Linked DNA regions of Notamacropus eugenii. The protein of the gene in region 1 interacts with the protein of each later gene in a pairwise test. Links are inferred from orthologs where the notes say so. Each region holds a gene or a part of one and is shown on either strand. Other genes may lie near its edges.

Region 1 (8,783 bases):
GCAGGAGCTGGGTTTGGATCTGAGTGCCCTGATGTGCACCCACACACTGCTCTCATTATTCGAGGGGTTGCTGGCATTTCAAACATACAGTGACAGAATCAGAAGAGCTCCTGGAAATTGAGGCCAATGTCAAGAATTGAGGAATCAATCAAAGAGAAGTAGGTAGTCATAGAATCTTTAAATGTTCTCAGCAGTCTTAGAGGCAGGTACCACCTCCCAATGAAAACATCCCTCCTGCAGAATCCTTGACAGTCTTAACACTTCCAAAGACAAGGAACTCATTACTTTGAAAGACAAGCTGTTTCTTTTTCATACACTCCTAATTGCTACAAAGTCCTTGTTTCCAGACCTGTCTCCTTGTAGCATTCACTTGTTAGTTCTAATGAGTCCTTTAGAGGGACCAAGAGTGTGTTCCTTCTTTCACACTGCTCTTCAAATATTTAAGAAGAGCTATGATGTCTCCTGAAATCTCTTCTCCCAGCTAAATATCCCAACTACCTTCTTTGGGTTCTGAAAGGATGTTTCCTGTAACACTTTTTTTCCTAACCACCCTGGATGCTTACAAAGGTGAATGTTGTCTTCTTCAGTCAAATGTAAGTTTCTTGAGGTAAGGGACCTCATTTCACATTTGTGTATGCTCAGTGCTTAGCACAGTTCCACATATAATTAGTGCTTAATAAGTGCTTATTGGTTGAAGAGCTGATTAAGGAAGTTCTAGCTTGTCAATATTCTTCTAAAAGTATGGTGGCCAAACCAGACACAATACCTCAAATGTGACCTGAAGAGAAAAAAGTAAAATCATCACCTTGATTTAGACATGATACTGAGAGATGGCTCTAACAAAAACAAAGTGGCAAGAATAGCTGGCCAGATGAAATCTATGTAAAGGCAGTCCAAGCTCATTGACGACTGATTGTCAAGAAATATGAAAGAGGAGGAGAGTCCAAATGCTTGGGGTAAGTCATCAGGCTGATAGTGGAAAGAACACTGGATTTCAAATCAGAGGATCTAAGTTTAATTCTATCCCTAATACAATTCATGTGATACTGGACTCTTAACCTCCCTGTGCCTCACTGTACTCATCTGTAAAAATAGAGTTCAACCATATGGCCTCTGCAGAAACTTCAACCTTTAAGTCTTGATCCTATGGCTATCGTTACCACATAAAAATAATAAAAATATCAATGACTCAACAATATGACCACTTTCCCATCTCTACAAAATCTTTATGAGGATAAATTAACGCATCTATCAAGGGCATCCATGATGAAGTCATGATTTTGGCAAGTGAGATTCTACAGATGACTCACATCTCTACAGTCACTGAAAGGTGCAGAGAAGACAGAATTCCACTGGATTTTTTCTTCATCGACCATGACAAAACATATTATTTGGCAGAGCAAAGCCTCTCATCAAAGGTTCTCCAACAAAGAGTCTCCCAGGCATACGGGAAAAATCATATGACTCCTCAAAAGATGCCATAATAATAGTGATAATAATCACAACTGTAATAATAGTCTGCATTTCTATAATCATCTTCAAGCTTGCAAAGCACTTATATAAATATATACATACATGTATATATAAATTTATATATTTATACTTATATGAAATTCCTTTATTTGCTCCTCAAAACCACCCAGGAAGGGAGGACTTATTATCTCCATTTTACAGAAAAGGAAAGTGAGGCTGGGTAAGGTTAAGTACTTTGCCCAGGGTCAAACAGCTGCAAAGAGCTCACTTTGGCAGTCAATCCTCTAATTATTCATATTAAGCAAGGCTTGAAACAGAGTAATAGCACCTTGCTAAGGTATTATCTAGCATGAAACATACAGATGGAACAGACTTTCCTATGGGTGGTCAGGTCCTCTGGAAGCTTCAGTTTACAAGTTCATTGAGTTGACCTTATCAAGCCCCAGGACACCACAGAAAGACCTCCTCAATGAAGTCACTTAAAACAATTTGCCTAAATGATATACACGAAAGACCTGGGTTCAGCTATGGTCTCTAGCACTTTGATTGTGTGACTCCAGGCAACAGACTTAATCTCTCAGAGTTCCAGACTATTCTACATGAGCTCCTTTTCCTTTCCAGAACTTTTCAAGCCCATAATAAATGAAGACTTGTCAACAATGTTGGAGAAGGGTTCTTGCTCAGGTTCAGGTTGGACTGAGGACTGGTCTAAATATAAAATTCTATGATTCTGGGATCCTATGAACCCCCTCCTTCAACAATTACCATTGTTATTTTGTGTGACACACACCATCTAACTGTCACTACCAGGGACATTACAGTGGCATGAAGGGCTTAGAGACAATGCATACATTGTTCAGAGCATACTATACAACCAGCCAGTATCCTAAGACTGATGCCTTGTCTGCAAGTAAGAAAGTCACAATTGTAGCCCTTCAATTAACACAGTGGATTCCCCAGATTCAAAGTATCCCCTCAAAAACCATAGCTTATGAGCCCCCACCAACGTGCTGACCTTCATGAGTCAGCCAAGAGCCAGAATTCATTCAAAGCAGATGTATCTAAATAAAATCAGTCCAAAGAGAGAGTCAAGGGATGAGTAGGTCAAACAGTGAAGCCCTTTTTGAGATAGGAGCAGAGGAAGAAGAAGAGCCCGAGGCCCTGACTGTGTAACTTCACTGAGGAAAAGAGTTCTGCAGATAATCTAGAAAATGTGTTTGCTATATGCTTTGGTCATTGCTGTGGTACTATATCAGGAATCTGTGATATCCCTGGTATAAGAATTCGTTCCACCAAGAAAGATGGCAATTCATGTTTTAGTTTAGCAAAAAAGTCTTGGAGTCAATTGCCTGATGCTCAAAAAAGTTAAGTGATTTGCCCATGCTCACACAGCTAGTAAGTCTCAGAGATGCAGATTTGAACCCACCTCTCTAGCTGCTAAATCATGATGCATTTCTACCAAGACTGATATCAACAGTTAAATGCTTTCTCCTGAGGCTGGCTGTTCTTGCATTCTAAAGTCACAAACCAGTACAGTATGTCACTCAATAGAACTGATGAACAGGCTAGAGACCCTATTCCTAAAATAGGGTTTTAGGAGGGACTTGGAGAAGAGTATCTATATTATTGAACTGGCTACACAATATTTTGTAAGCATCCCAACAGGCCAGAAACTTAGCAAAAGATACTAGGAAAGGTCATAGCCCTCCTGTAATTTAATACATTAAAAACAAATTGTAATTTTGCAAAAGGCCCAGATTTGTGAGCAGAAGACAAACAATGGAACAACAGAATAGGAAGAGTCGGGAAGAAGTTTTCTTTTTTAAGATCTGCACGTCTTTGAAAGGACAAGGGTAAAATACAAGCAGAACAGTGGACAGAAAATAGAGCGCCATCAAAAGCAGACAGAGCAGGATTTATGGAAAAGATACTGAACTAAAAACACAAAGTACACGAAGCATGCACTGTGCAGGAAGTTTTCGCAACAGCATCCAAACTGAGTCGTCCTGGATCCTTAACTTGTCACTTCTAGAAGCCCTTTCTCACGAAGCCGTGTCTGCTGCAGTCACCAAGGATCATTCACAGGCAGTGATAACCCACTCCCTCCTGGAAGTCCCAAGCTCTCAGCTGCACTTCCATCTGAATGAACCCTTACAAGGGTGACTGATCAGTTAAGCAAGCATCGGGAACCTTAGAGTTTCTACACAATGGTGGGGTTAGAAACCAGAATGAAAGGGCTTGAAAAGTGAATGGGAATTCGGTAATGGAAAGGAAGCAAAATAGAAGGTGACAGGCTGAGACTCTGGCTGGGTCAATCCATGACCCAAACTGGCTTAGACCTGAATGTTTGTAAAATGTGGGTAAGAAACCAGTTAAGTAGCTAGGGTGAGATGGAAATGGATACAGATGCTCAGGAGAGACAGAAGACAGCAGGCAGAGATGGAGAAAGCCAAGACAAAGAGAAGAGACAATGACTGATGATACAGATTTCTAGAGGAACTTCTGAAGCCATTAACCATGATGAACACACCATCTAGGCCCCCAATGTCTTCAATTTCTTGATAAAAATTTCTTCATTCAAAGCAAGGCTTACATACTTTGTCATGGCAGTATCGTTTCCTCCTAAGTCACCAGAAGATAGTAACAGTTCGGTTCAACAAGTTTTACAAAGTTCTGTCACATGGTACATGGAGGGCTTGGGTTCAAATCATGCCTTCACCCTTACTTCCCATGTGACCTGGACCTTAGCTCTCAGCTGAAAAATGAAGGGCTCAAACTAGATGCCCTATAAAGGCCCTTTCAGCTTGGTCTAGGTCCTCTGGTCCACACCCAGACATATTTATGGGTCATCTGCACAATGGGAAGAGAATACCACCCTTGGAATTCAGAGGTGCTAGCTTCAGGGTCCCACTAGTGCCTGGCTAGCTGTGTGACCTTGGGGAAGTCATTTGTGGAAGGAAGGAAATAAGCATGTATTAAGTGCCTATTATATGCCTGTCACTAGATTAAATGCTTTCAAATATCTCACTTGATCGTCAAAACCATATGGGAGGTAGGTGCTGTTATTCTCCCCATTTTACACTGGAGGAAACAGAGGCAAACAGAGGTGAAATGACTTGCCCAATGCCACACAGCTAGTGTCTAAGTTCACATTTGAACTCCAGTCTTGTTGCCCCTGGGGCAGGTCCTGGGCTGTTTAGCGCTCTGTGCACTGGGGCACTCCACAGTTGCCTCAACAACTTGTTTTCTTTGGAGTTCTGAGATCTCCACCTCCAAAATAGGTCAAATCCTTGTCCTACTCAAAGTGTTATCTGGAGGCTGCAAAGAGATCGTGATGGGAAAGCCAAAAGTTATTCATCACCTAAGGTATCGCTGAGTGCCAGGCTCAGTGGGGGCTTCACCAAGAGAACCAAGGCGGAACCCCTGACCTCAACGAATTAATCACCCAGTAAACCCTGAAGCGAAGAGCCATCCCCAAATGCATCCGGGTTGTGGATCCTTGCAAATCTCAGCAGAACTGATTGAGCCAAAGCTGAAGGTACCTTCAGCACGGTGGGAGAGGGGGGAGACACACAATGGGGTCACTGCCCTCCCCGGGCTGCGGGTCAGGAGAGTGCAGCCGAGATGTTAGGAACAGCAGAACGCGCTTGATGCTGGGCGGGCGAGGAGGTGCGGTCACAAGGAGGGGGTGGAGAGAGATGAAGCTGGACACAATGTATCCAGTGGGGAAAGTGGCGCCTGAGCGGAAGGACCCTGGAAAGACTGAGCGCAAGAGCCCAAGCTCAGCAGGACACCCTTTCCAGGTTACCAGCACCCCTCCCCCGCCCCAGCCCAAGGGCGGACACGTGATGGGCTCACGCTTAGGACAGGAGCTGCCCAGCTGGAAGAGACTTCTCAGGGGAGGGCACTCCCTCTACTGAGGCTCACAACAGCCAGGCACGACTAGACCCTCTCTTAGTGCCAGAGGACCTGAGTTCCAAATCTGCCTCTAAGCCTCCCTCCGTGTACGAGTGGGTTACAGAGGATAGCTGACGTCATAAAGCTAGTGTGGCCAGGGGGCTCTTTCCAGGGCATGCGCAAAAGCGCCGTCTGCAAGAGAGGTGGAGCTGTGGCTGCCCTTCACAAAGATGGCGACCTCAAACTTCGGTTCACCCCGCAGCCAACGATCCCTTCCGCACATGCGCAGAACGGTGAAGACGGAAGGGAGAGACGAAGGACAGCTTGCCCTTTATAAAGATGGCGATCACATGTTACCCAATGTCCTGACAACTCCTTTCCGGAGGCAGTGAGGAAAGAACAGTGGGACAGAGCAGAGTGTACCCTTCAAAAAGATGGCGGTCATAGTGCAAGCGCGCTCCGTGCACAGAATGGGGCGGGGAGGAGCTGTGCCCGCCCTCTCCAAAGATGGCCACCGTAGTACAGGCGTTTCTACTGCGGCTCCTTCCGGGGCATACGCATAAGAACACTTAGCGCGTGCCCTCTTCAAAGATGGCCGCGCAGTCACCCACCGCTGGCGGACTTCGCGGCGGCGCCCTAAGAACGAAAGGGTGGAGCTCTGGAACTCGCCTCACGATCCCCGGAAGCAGGGGCGGGCACTTCCGGGGGCGGGGCCCGTCGGCGGCGAGGTCGCGATGTCGTGGTTAAAGGCGGCATGCGCGAGACCCGGGCAGGACGGGGGCGCGGACGTGGACGTGTTCGACGACGAAGCAGACGAGACACTGCCGGCGCAGCGGGAGTGGAGGAGCCGCTTGGAGCGGCGCGTGCGGGTGAGGCTCGTTCCGGAAGCCCTCTATTCCAGAGAGGCGGGGTCAGCGTAGGGGAGGTGTGTGTGAAAGAGACAGAGGGCAGGGAGCGGAAGTGACGTTAGAGTCGTGCGGCCAATAAGTCGTGCTAGGGGCGGGGCTTCGATTCCGCGATGCCTGCACGTGGCGGTCGGCCCCTCCCCCTCGACCGGCTCCCTAGCCGTGACTTTGATAAAGCTGGGGCATCCCTCCTCCCACGTACGTGCTTTTAAAGGCATTTGTTTACAAATAAAAGGCGTGTGCAGGGTACTCTCCTTACCCCAGGGCCCGGGGCTGGCGGCGGGGACGTTGTGCGCCCGGTAAGGGGCCAGTTTGGAGCCTGAAACGCCAGTGCACCTTTGGAGCCCTCCCCTGAAAGCGAAAGCTAGCGTGAGAAGCCGGACCTGTGGGCAGCACGGTTGTAACTTTGTAAATAGACTCATCCACAGTAGCAAAGCTCGCCTCTGATACTCAGGGACTTTGTCAGTTACTGTTACCACCTTGTTAAAAGTTAGAACACGTTTGGTTTCTTCTACTGGCTATTGTATTTTCTTTTATTCTTATTTGTGTTAATGGCAGTTAAAATTAAAAATTAAGACCGAATTCTTTCCTTTTTGTGTGTCATGGACCCCTTTGGCAGTGTGGGAGAGGTAGGCTCTCAGAATTATAGGAAACCAAAAGTGAATGAGAAGACATAATCTTTTTTCCCCCATCCATGTCCATAGAACAACATACGATCAGAGAGGAGGGAAGCAAGGGCCAGTAACTGCAAATGAGATATCCTATAAAAATTATGTCAGGAGTCCTAATGTCGACGTGTGCTAAGGCTGGGGATGATGGCCACGGAGGACTTTTTTCTAAGCTCTGTTGGGCGTTGTCGATGGAGGTCAGATAAGGGATAAGGCCACTACTCCAAGGCCATGGGGTGTTGCTAACAGAAGGCAAATTTGCTCTGCTTCTGAGAACGATCTTTGGACCTCGAAGGTTAGAATAAAAAGTTGAAGCTCGAGATAACTGAGGTGATGATAAGAATCATGAGGTTCCAGGTCAGGGCCAGCTGCACCCCAGGGACCCAGAGGACACTGTCAATGACAGTCTTAGAAAATTTGTCAGGGATCAATTCCATAAGCATGTGTTAAGTGCCTACCATGGGCCAAACACCAAGGATATGAAGAAAGAAAAAAGACAAATGGTCCTGGGAGCTCAGTCTGATGCAGGGAGTAATCTGGAAGCAACCCAAGTCACTCCTCCATTCAAGAGTTTAACTTTTCAACTTGAAGCCTGTGTGTGATTTTATTAGTAACTTCATTTTCACTTTTATGTGGGCAGCCGCATGGACATTACACATTTGCAGCTCTGTGCAGTAGAGAAATAAATGAGAGGCGATCTGCATGCTGGGGTACTGGCCCCAGGTGTGTGCTTTAGGGAACAGTTCAGCCAAAGAGCCCAAAGGAAGGAAGATAGAGGGTAGCTGCCCCTTCAACCATCTCCAGCAACAAGATGACAGTTTGGGCAGTCTATTTCCCATAAAATCATATTTTTACTTTTATGCTGTTTTGTAGGAATGTTACCCCTGTGAAAGTTGAGGATTGACTGTAGGTACATAAGCATGGCTCAAGGAGGAAAAACGTGACTTCGGAATCCTCAGACCTTCTGGTGACCTCTCAGATTCTTTGTGTGACTGTGGACAAGTCCTTGCTCCCCCTGGGCCTCTGTGGCCCCATTTGTAAAATGAGGGGATTGGACTGGATCAGGCCTTCTGAGGGGCCACCCAGATTTAAATCCATGATTCTGCATGATCTTGAGGCCACCCTTAGCAATAGCGTAGTTAGCCTTCTAACAGGTCAAATGTCAGGAAGTACACAGCCCATCCTCCTGTGTCAGAGTGGTCTCCACTCAGTCCTTCCTAGCAGAGGGCTTACTCATGACTGGCAGTCACAGAGCTGTAAGACTGGGAGACCATCTCACATGTGTTCTATTTGATCCTCACACCAGGGCCATGCACTAGGTGCTATTATCCCCATCTTATAGAAGCCAAAGGAGCTTCTTAGATGCTGGATGGAGCTAAGAGATTGCATCCCACCTTGGGAAAGAAATGAGGGAGGGATGAGTGTGAATCCCAGCCAGGAGGAGCATGGCTGGGACAACAATTCCCAGTTTGACCAGCCATCGTCTTTTGCCCTGGGGGTGTTTCATCCTGCTCTCTGCCCCACTTGGAAGGAAGGCACCATGTGGTCCTGTACCCTCCCTCTCTCCTCATTCTTCTCCAGGCCTGCCTGCAGGAGCAGTGGCCTCTTGGCCTCCTCTCAGCTTGGACAGGGCTGGGGAGTTCACTGTGGATCTATCTATTCTCTGGCCTTCAACTTCGGACATTGTCAGGGCTGGTTCCTGGAAAGTCCCCTGAATTCTGGCCTCCAGCAGGTTTTGGGGGGAGGGGTGCCTGAAGATTGGAAAATGGTTTAGTCTAGAGAAGGAAGAGCAGTAAAGGTGACATACAGGTTACCACCAAATGCCTGTGTGGCTCTTTGT
Region 2 (8,341 bases), on another chromosome or scaffold:
TTTTGTGCCCACCTGCCTTTTGATAGCGGTTGATTAGCATTTCTTGATATGGAAGGTGAGGAAAAAGGGCCCCTCCTCCTCTCAATCAACCAGGCAGGGTCCCCAGAGAGAGGTGAAAGGAGATAGGGCAAGAGGCATTGAAAAGGAAGGACTGGTTGGTTTTGGAGGCCTAGGGACAGCCAGAGTGGAGGGAGATGGGAGAAGAGAGTTCCCTGGAGCAGATGGAAGTTGTCCACATGGCAGAGGAGCTGATCAACTGGAGAAGGGATGCTTGGGACCCAGATCAGACCATCCACACTGGTATGGAGGGTGGAGTGGCCACTGAAAGCCTTTCAAAAGAAGGGAGGAGAAGTCACAGAAGGGAGAGAAGTCAGTGGGCTCCTGTTGGTAAATTGTAGCTTTGGGGCAGGTTTAGAGAGAGATCATTTGTGACCATCTGGGAGGAAACCCATAGAAATGAAAACACCCAGAAGACCCTTCCCATCTCTACAATTCCATGTTTTCAGTTGTAAGGCATCTCCCAGTGTGGACTTTCTGTGTTCTATACTTTGAGTTCCTTCTCTGTTCTACTAGTTCTTGTTCTAAGATCTCTTCCAGCTCTGATTTTTTGTGTTTTCATTCTGACATTCAAGGTGTCAAAGCTCTATCAAGTACAGACAGTTTCTGTGCTAAGATCCCTCCCAGCTCTGATACTCTAGGTGCAAAAGGCCCATCAAACATCAACAGTCTATGTTCTATGTTCTAAGGACCTTGCTGCTAACATTCCATGTTCTGAGGTCTCTTCCAGTTTTGATAGTCTATTTTCTTATCTTTTGAATGTTTCAAAAGAGATTTAAGGTCCCTAGGATAAAACCACACTCTAAATAAAGTCAGCGATTAAATGGCTCGGTATTTAATGAACCTGGCCCCCTCCCCACTTTGGTGGACTTGGTGAGCCTGCGGCTATCATGGAGAAACAGACTCTGTAGGGTCAGGGATCAAGAAGATGGACTGAGGCTAGCCGGGTCCTTGGCCAACATCTCTGAGTCATGACCCCACTGGACAAATGGGTATCCCTCCATCAAATGGGGAGGTAGACACTGGTGTAGCCTTGCTCTCAGTCTTAACCTCCCACTCTCTGCCTGAGCTGCTGATGGGGCTTTGGTCTTGGGGACTTTGGCTCCTCAGAGCAGGGCAGAGGAGCCTACATTGGGGCCCTGGAGAGGAAGGTGGTGCGCAGGGATATGGGATGAGGGGACTGTCAGCTTCTTCCACTGAACCTTGATGCCTCCCAGTGGCTGTTGGGAAGCGATAAAGGAGCATCTGAAAAAGCCAAGCAGGATAACATTTCTGGGATGCGGGTTCCATCTAGTGGCAAGAGCGCTTTCCAGTGACCGCTGCCTTGTAGCCTTAGCCTTGAGATGAGTGATGCTTGAAAGTCTGAGACTTGCATCCAACCGCCCAAACACTGGACACGGTCAGCTTTGAATCTACTCCTTGTCTCCCATGAAGAGGTGACCTTCTCTTTGGCAACACTCTCTGTCACCCCCCTCTCACTCCTCTTCCATCTCTCCTAGTGTACTGCTGGCTCGCTCCCTTACTACCTCCCAACATGCCCACGTCTCCCCCATCCTCAAAGATGAAAACCAAACCCTGCCCTGAGCCACCCTCCCTCCCAGCTCTCATCCAAGGCCTTCTCCCTATTCCCCGGGGGATGGGGGGCAACTTATTCCTTCCCCGGGAAATAGCCCTATACGGTGAGATGGAATCCACTCAGCACGGACCCTGACTGGACAGAGGGCTGGACCCTGGGCTCCAGGGCAGGACCAGGGATTTCTCCTCAAGTCCCACAATTGTGCTATCGGGACCTCTAGGATACCCTCCATCAAGTTCCCACACCCAATAACTTCTCAACCCCACCTCTTTCCTTCTGTATGCTGACTTCCCCCATTGTAATGTTTATTTTTATTTATATCCCCAGGGTTTAGCTCAGTTTCTGTACACAGTAGGTGCTTAAGAAATATCTGTTGACAGTAAAGTCAGTAGAATCCCTCTCCCACTCTGATCAAGACAACAATCCAAGACAATTCCAAAGGCTTCGTAATGAACAATGCTATCCTCTCCCAGAGAGAGAGAGCTGATGGAGTTCGAATGGATGCATAATTTTCTGTATTTAATTTATTTTTATTTTTTCCTCATTTAATTTAACAATTTTCTTTCTTTCTTTTTCTTGCTTTCTGGGTGACATGCTAATATGGAAATCAGTTTTGCATGATTTCAAATGGATGAGTCATATCCTAGCTAGCCTTCTCAGTGGGTGGAGCAGGGATGGGAGGGAGGAAAAGAATTTGAAACTCAAAAGAAAAAGAATATTAAAAAAAAATAATATGTTAGGGAAAATGTTTATTGACTCCCCTTTGTGGCAAAGCTCCTCAAAAAGGTCACCTCCAAGGGGTGCTTACGCTTCCTTTCCTCTCACTCTTCTTAATTCTCAACATTTTGGCTTCTGACCTCATCATTCTATTGAAACTGTTCTCTCCAGCGCTCCCAAAGTTCTCTGGGTGGCCCAATCCAATGATCTCCTCTGCAGCGTTGGGCCCTGGGGACCACTCTCTACCTTGCCTCTTACACACCTGCTACCATGGGTGTCCTACAGAACCTCTTCTCCTTTAGACTCTCTCACTTGGTGATCTCATCAGTTCCCATGGACTCAATTATCTCTATGATGATCCTCAGATCTCCTTATTCAGCCTTTACTGTTGTTGACCCCTGACTCCCATTTCCAACTGGACATCTCAAACTGGGTGATCAGCAAACCTTCTAAACTGAACTTACTCCTTCTTCTCAAATCTTCCCCTCTTCCAAACTGCTGTTGCAGTTTAGAGGTGCTGAGAACACCGAAATTCAAGGGTAAATGATGCAGGTCCTGCCTTGAAAGAATTTGACTCAAGCCTTCTTTCAGACAGAGACAGAGTTTATTAAAGCATGGGTTGAGGTGGGCAAGATTTTAAGAATTTGCCCTGTTGGCCAGATTTTAAGAATCTGAGCCTTGGTAATGCCCATACAACTTTTACAGAATCTGAGTGATCTAATGGGGGAAAGATGGACACATATATACTGGTCAAGGAGTGGGTCTAGATGGAATCAAGGAATGGGGGTCTAGGGTGCAAGGAGGGTCACTATGAAAGGGCAGTTAAAAGAATTCTTCCAGGAGCCTCTGGTGAATGTGGAGAGGAGGGGGTTCTGAGCTGGCAGGCTGGGTTCCTGTAATTCATGGGAAAGTTCAAAGGGGGAGGGATCCAAAGCCCACAGCACAATACTGTTACTATCCTTAAGACCTTTAGGCTCACACCCTACCATCCTCAGTTCCTCACTCTTCCCTCACTCCCTTATCTTATCTGTCACTGAGTCCTGTGGATATTCTCATACCTGTCACCTGCACAGTAAACCCCTTTTGCCACAAGTCTTTCTCCACTCAACACCTTCTCAAACTGGCCCCTCCTAAGTACTTGTCTGACCATGTCAGCCTCCTAAATTCCAATGATTTCCTGCCACATTCAGAATCAAATACAAAATCCTCTGTTTGGCATCCACAGGCCTTCATCATTTAATCCTCTCCTATGTTTCCAGTTTTTTCTATCTCTGTGACCCCCTACTCTTCAGTCCCATGATTATTTCTCACACACTCCATCTCCTGAACCCAGGTATTTTCCATGACCTTTCCCTTTCAAGCTCCAGCTAAAGTTCCACCTGCAAAAATTCTTCCTGGGTCTGCCTGAATGCCAACATCTTCCCTCTGTTCAGTAACTCCAACTCACCCAGTACACATTTTGTTTTTACCTGCTGGTTTACATATCACCCCTCTTGGCTGTGAGTTCCTCAAAAGAGCTTTTTGCCTTTCATTGTATCCCCATAAGAGATACTGACTCATAGTAGGCACTTAGTACATGCATGTTGACTGATTGACTCCAAGGGCCTCTGTTTCCTTGCCTGTAAAATCAGGGAGTTGAACTCCATGGCATCCAGTGATCAGGGATCCTCTGAAGCTCTGTGTTTATGATGCCATGACCCTATCCATGGCATAGGGAGCCATATAGGCATTAAATGCCCAGAGGGAAAGAGCAGCAGAAACAGTTCTGTGGACAGTAAATAACTGCTACCCTTTGCCATGACCTCTGCAAGCACAGAGGGGTACAATGGAAGCCAAGTCTGCAAAGGAGCATTAGTAGAATCTCTGGTTTGGAAGGAATCTGAGTTCTCGAGTCCTTCCAACCCCACATAGGAATCAGTAGAATTTCGCTGTTTCTCCTGCTTGTGTCCCATGATGGAGAACAGCCTCAGAGTAGATAAAAAGAAGTCCTCAGTGAGGGTCAGGAGACGTTGAGCTGTACCAGGACCCCCAAAAGCTAAGAGCCCCAAGGCTTTGTCTGCTCCGAGTTTAATGAATTGGGGTCCAAGCCTGAGTCAAATCTCCACCAGGACTGGAGTTCCCCAGGGGTGGCCCCGGAGTGAAATGACCTGTGGGTCGGGTCCCCGGACTCCAGCAGTGCAGGACGATGCGGGAGAGCCCGGAGGTTCGGTCCAATTCCCTTTTTACAGCAGGGAAGACAGGAATCGAGGGTCGGGGATCGGGATCCAAAGCCAGCTATGCCAGAGGCAGGGATTCCCTGAAAGGGGACCCCAGCTTTCTCATCTGGGGGGGTAGGGTGACAACCAGGGTTCCCCCAGATCCTGGGGCTTTAGGGGCTCTCCGCCTTGGGGTTGGGGGGACGTAAGTAAACGAGAGCCTGGGGAGGAAGCATTTATTAAGTCCTGACTGTGTGTCGCGCACCCGAGCTAAGCGCCCGAGCACGCCAGAGGAAGAGCCCTGGAACTAATCGTCCCCTCATTTTGCAGGTGGGGAAACTGAGGCAGAAGATGGCCTCCCAGGACCCCAGACTTTGCGGCGTGTCTGTGTGTTTTGTACCTCCATCCATAAGCAAGGATTAAGCTCCGCGTGTTTGCGCTGCTGGGAGACTGCGGACCAGAGCCGGGAAGACTGGCCTGGTTCTTCCTCTGGCCCCGCCCAGGCCCCGCCCAGGCCCCGCCCTCTCAATGTCAGAACCCCCCCCCCCCCATCAGTGGTTGCAGCCAGTCAGAACGCCCTTTAAGGGGGCCTGGAATGTGCCATTAAAGGCAAGGGGGGGGTAAAGAAAGTCCGGCGCCTACTGAGCATGCGCCATGACCTACGCTTCTCGGGCCCTCCAGCTCGCCGTAGTCTCTGTCCCAGCGGCCTCTGCGCGGCCGGCCCGGCTCGGGAGGGGAGTAGGAAGAGGCAACCACTGGTGGGCCGGAACCGAACCGGGTAATGGACCGGCCCCCGGACCTGTTCGATGCCATCGTGATGGCGGAGGAGAGGTGGGTAGGCTCCCGCCGTGCCTCAGTCTCCCCGGCTCCGCCCCGTCCGGGCACCGGGTGCAAATCCTACCCGGGCCTTGGGCTTCCTTCAGGGCAGAACCTGAGGGGCGGGGCCGGGGCTCGGCCCAAGAGATCCTCCCCTCCCCCTAGGGGCCTGGGGAGGGGGCGGGGCCAAGCTTTGGGAGAACCCTTGGGGTGACTGAGGGGGTCCGTCTGCCGGTCCGTCCGTCACCCCGCCCGCCTGTCGGTGCGTCCCTCCGGAGGCGTCTTCATTATTGCTATGAAAATGGTTTTGTCTTCACAGATCCCTCCCCCCAAAAAAGGTCAGGGGGGCCGCCGCTGTGTGACCCTGGCCCCTCCCCCCACAAAGGTCAGGGGGCCCCCCCGCTGTGTGACCCTGGCCCCTCCCCCCACAAAGGTCAGGGCCCCCCCGCTGTGTGACCCTGGCCCCTCCCCCAAAATGTCAGGGGGGCCGCCGCTGTGTGACCCTGGCCCCTCCCCCCACAAAGGTCAGGGGCCCCTCCGCGGTGTGACCCTGGCCCCTCCCCCTACAAAGGTCAGAGGGGCCCCCCCGCTGTGTGACCCTGGCCCCTCCCCCCACAAAGGTCAGAGGGGGCCCCCCCGCTGTGTGACCCTGGCCCCTCCCCCCACAAAGGTCAGAGGGGGGGCCCCCCCGCTGTATGACCCTGGCCCCTCCCCCCACAAAGGTCAGGGGCCCCCCCTCTGTGTGACCCTGGCCGAGCCTGTGAGGTGGGCCAGGCTCTGCTGAGCCGACCGTGCACACAGTAGGCGCCGTCCTTTCTGGGCCGGGTCCGCCCGGGTGTGGCAGGTGCCGAGGGGGCGCCCCCTGTCCGCGCTGGTCCGTCTGCAGGTTCTCGTCCCCTCCGAGTGTCCGAGGTGGGAGCGCACCCAGTCTGCAAAGTGCCCTTACGGCCCGGGCTGGTGGGGTGGACACCCCTTGGGCCTCCCTCCTTTTTTCTCCCTTGTCCAGCCTTCCTCCAGCCGTGGGCCTCGTCCTCCGACATCAGTGCAAACGTGCCCTTGGTTTGGCCAAGGTCCGGCCTGGGGCCGCGGTCAGTGGTCAGCGGTCTGCGTCACTGCCATGGCCGGCGATTCAGGCTCAGGATTGGAACCTCTGGGAGAACGGAAGCAGAGCGCCCCTGCCCCTGCCGCCTCCCCCTTGGGGAGAGCCCACCCTGCCCCCTGCGCCCCTGGACTTTGGTGTCCAGGAAGCCTCCAGGGAAGACTGGGCCAGCCTGCCCCACGTGAAACAGGACCAGGAGGCGTTGCAGGAGTGGGCACGGGGCAGGGCCAGCCGTCTCTGAAGGCGAGGCAGGGGCAGCTGATGGGCCCTTCATTTTACAGTTGAAGAAGCCCTCCAAGCCCCCTCTTTCCACTGCTCTCTGAAAGGAGGAATTAGGTTAATGTTTAGAAACAGCGTTAAAACGTGATCTTAGCATCCGTTCCCTACCCTATTAATACCCTCCTTTTCTTTTTCACCCCACACTCAAAGCATTCAGCTTCTCCAGGCTGGCCCGGTCATACTTGGCAGGGGCTGCTGACTTCATGCTGGATGGCCTGGTACCTGTCCACAGGTGTGGGGGGCAGAAGTCCACACCTTGGGGCATCCTCAGGAGGGCAGGTGCTGGCTTATTTGGTCACTGGATCACTAGGCCTTAATCAACCCTTAATTATCTGTGTACATTTTTTAAGCCCTAGGGGGCTAAGTGTTTGTACAACCTGGACAAGGTTTGAAAGTTGTAGCCCTCCCCATGTTCTCCACACTCACCGGAAGAAGCTTTGGATTGTCTCCTTTACACTGACAGCATTTTATCAGTGAGAAGACAAGATGTAGGCAGACTTGAGTGGAGATCTGCATCAGAGAGAAGACACCAGCAGTCAGGAGGACCTGGAAGGTGGGCTTTGGGCGGAGACCAGCCAGGAGGGCACTCCAGGCCTGGAGGGTGGCCAGAGAAGATGTCCACAGGCAAGAGCTGGAGGCCAGTGTCCCTGAGTCCAAGAGGAAAGGGGACTTTAGACACCCAACAGAAGATTTTTTTCTTGGCCCTAGAGGTGATGGAGTCTTTCTGGGGTACTTCCTAAGCCTTTTTGTCTCTGGAATGGTTCCTTGCCATGGACTGAGAGTCAAGGGACTGTGGTAGCCCCCCACCTCCAGAGGTCTCAGCCTTGCCCCACCACGTTGCTGTCCCCTTTCCAGTGCTTGAGCCATGATTCTATGAGGACCATCTTTGTTGCAGGAAAGGTGGGCCTGGCCACTGCAGTCTCCCCCTGTGTCAGCATCCCTGGGGATTAGTGCCGTGCACAGCCATGCCTCTCACTCACACCCACATCACAGCCATGCTGTGCACCCAATGGCATCATGGCACTACTGAGGTTTGAACAGGTGAAGGGGCACCCCAGGAAACGAAAGGTGACTTCTTCCCAGACTCACCCTTTTTCTGCTGTGGCTACAGCGGGTTCCACCCCCTGAACATGGGCCAGTCGCCTGTGGGGCTCCCTGACCACATGTCCCGCTGCAGTTCTCCAGAGAGAGCATCTCTGAGGCCCCTTCCATTGCGGGCCAGGAAGTGTGATCAGACTGGCACGTTGCCCCATAGGACAGGGGTCGCTGAGTCTTCTGTGGCGTGTTCTGCAATGTCATCCTTCGTTATCCTTTATCATCACCACCTTTGTCTTCACTGGCAAAGAGCCGCGAGTCCTGCCACCACAATGGCCGTGGGTCCTTGTTCTGTAACTGCCCCCTCTTCAGGTTTATCTTGTGTGTTTTCTCTGTCCCAGGTATCATGGCGAAGGCTATCAGGAAGGTTACACTGAAGGCAGCTGTCTGGGTCTGACCGAGGGGAGGCAATATGGAGTGTCTCACGGCGCTAACATCGGGTCTGAGGTAAATAGAAACCCTTCTGAGGGGGGAGAAGGGAGGAGCCTCCTGGTGACTGGGCCACCC

The links.
Region 2: the proteins of YAE1 (region 1) and LTO1 interact in binary tests that used the Homo sapiens proteins (3 or more experiments, as listed by UniProt). The link is inferred for Notamacropus eugenii from reciprocal best matches to the Homo sapiens genes YAE1 and LTO1.

Annotation. Positions count from the first base shown.
Region 1 is NC_092874.1:480,882,354-480,891,136, forward strand, and holds the start of YAE1 (protein YAE1 homolog), read left to right. Parts: upstream 1-5,405; 5' UTR 5,406-6,104; coding exon 6,105-6,239; intron 6,240-8,783. UniProt on the Homo sapiens protein: The complex LTO1:YAE1 functions as a target specific adapter that probably recruits apo-ABCE1 to the cytosolic iron-sulfur protein assembly (CIA) complex machinery. May be required for biogenesis of the large ribosomal subunit and initiation of translation.
Region 2 is NC_092873.1:21,947,692-21,956,032, reverse strand, and holds the start of LTO1 (protein LTO1 homolog), read left to right. Parts: upstream 1-5,058; 5' UTR 5,059-5,326; coding exon 5,327-5,376; intron 5,377-8,175; coding exon 8,176-8,281; intron 8,282-8,341. UniProt on the Homo sapiens protein: The complex LTO1:YAE1 functions as a target specific adapter that probably recruits apo-ABCE1 to the cytosolic iron-sulfur protein assembly (CIA) complex machinery. May be required for biogenesis of the large ribosomal subunit and initiation of translation.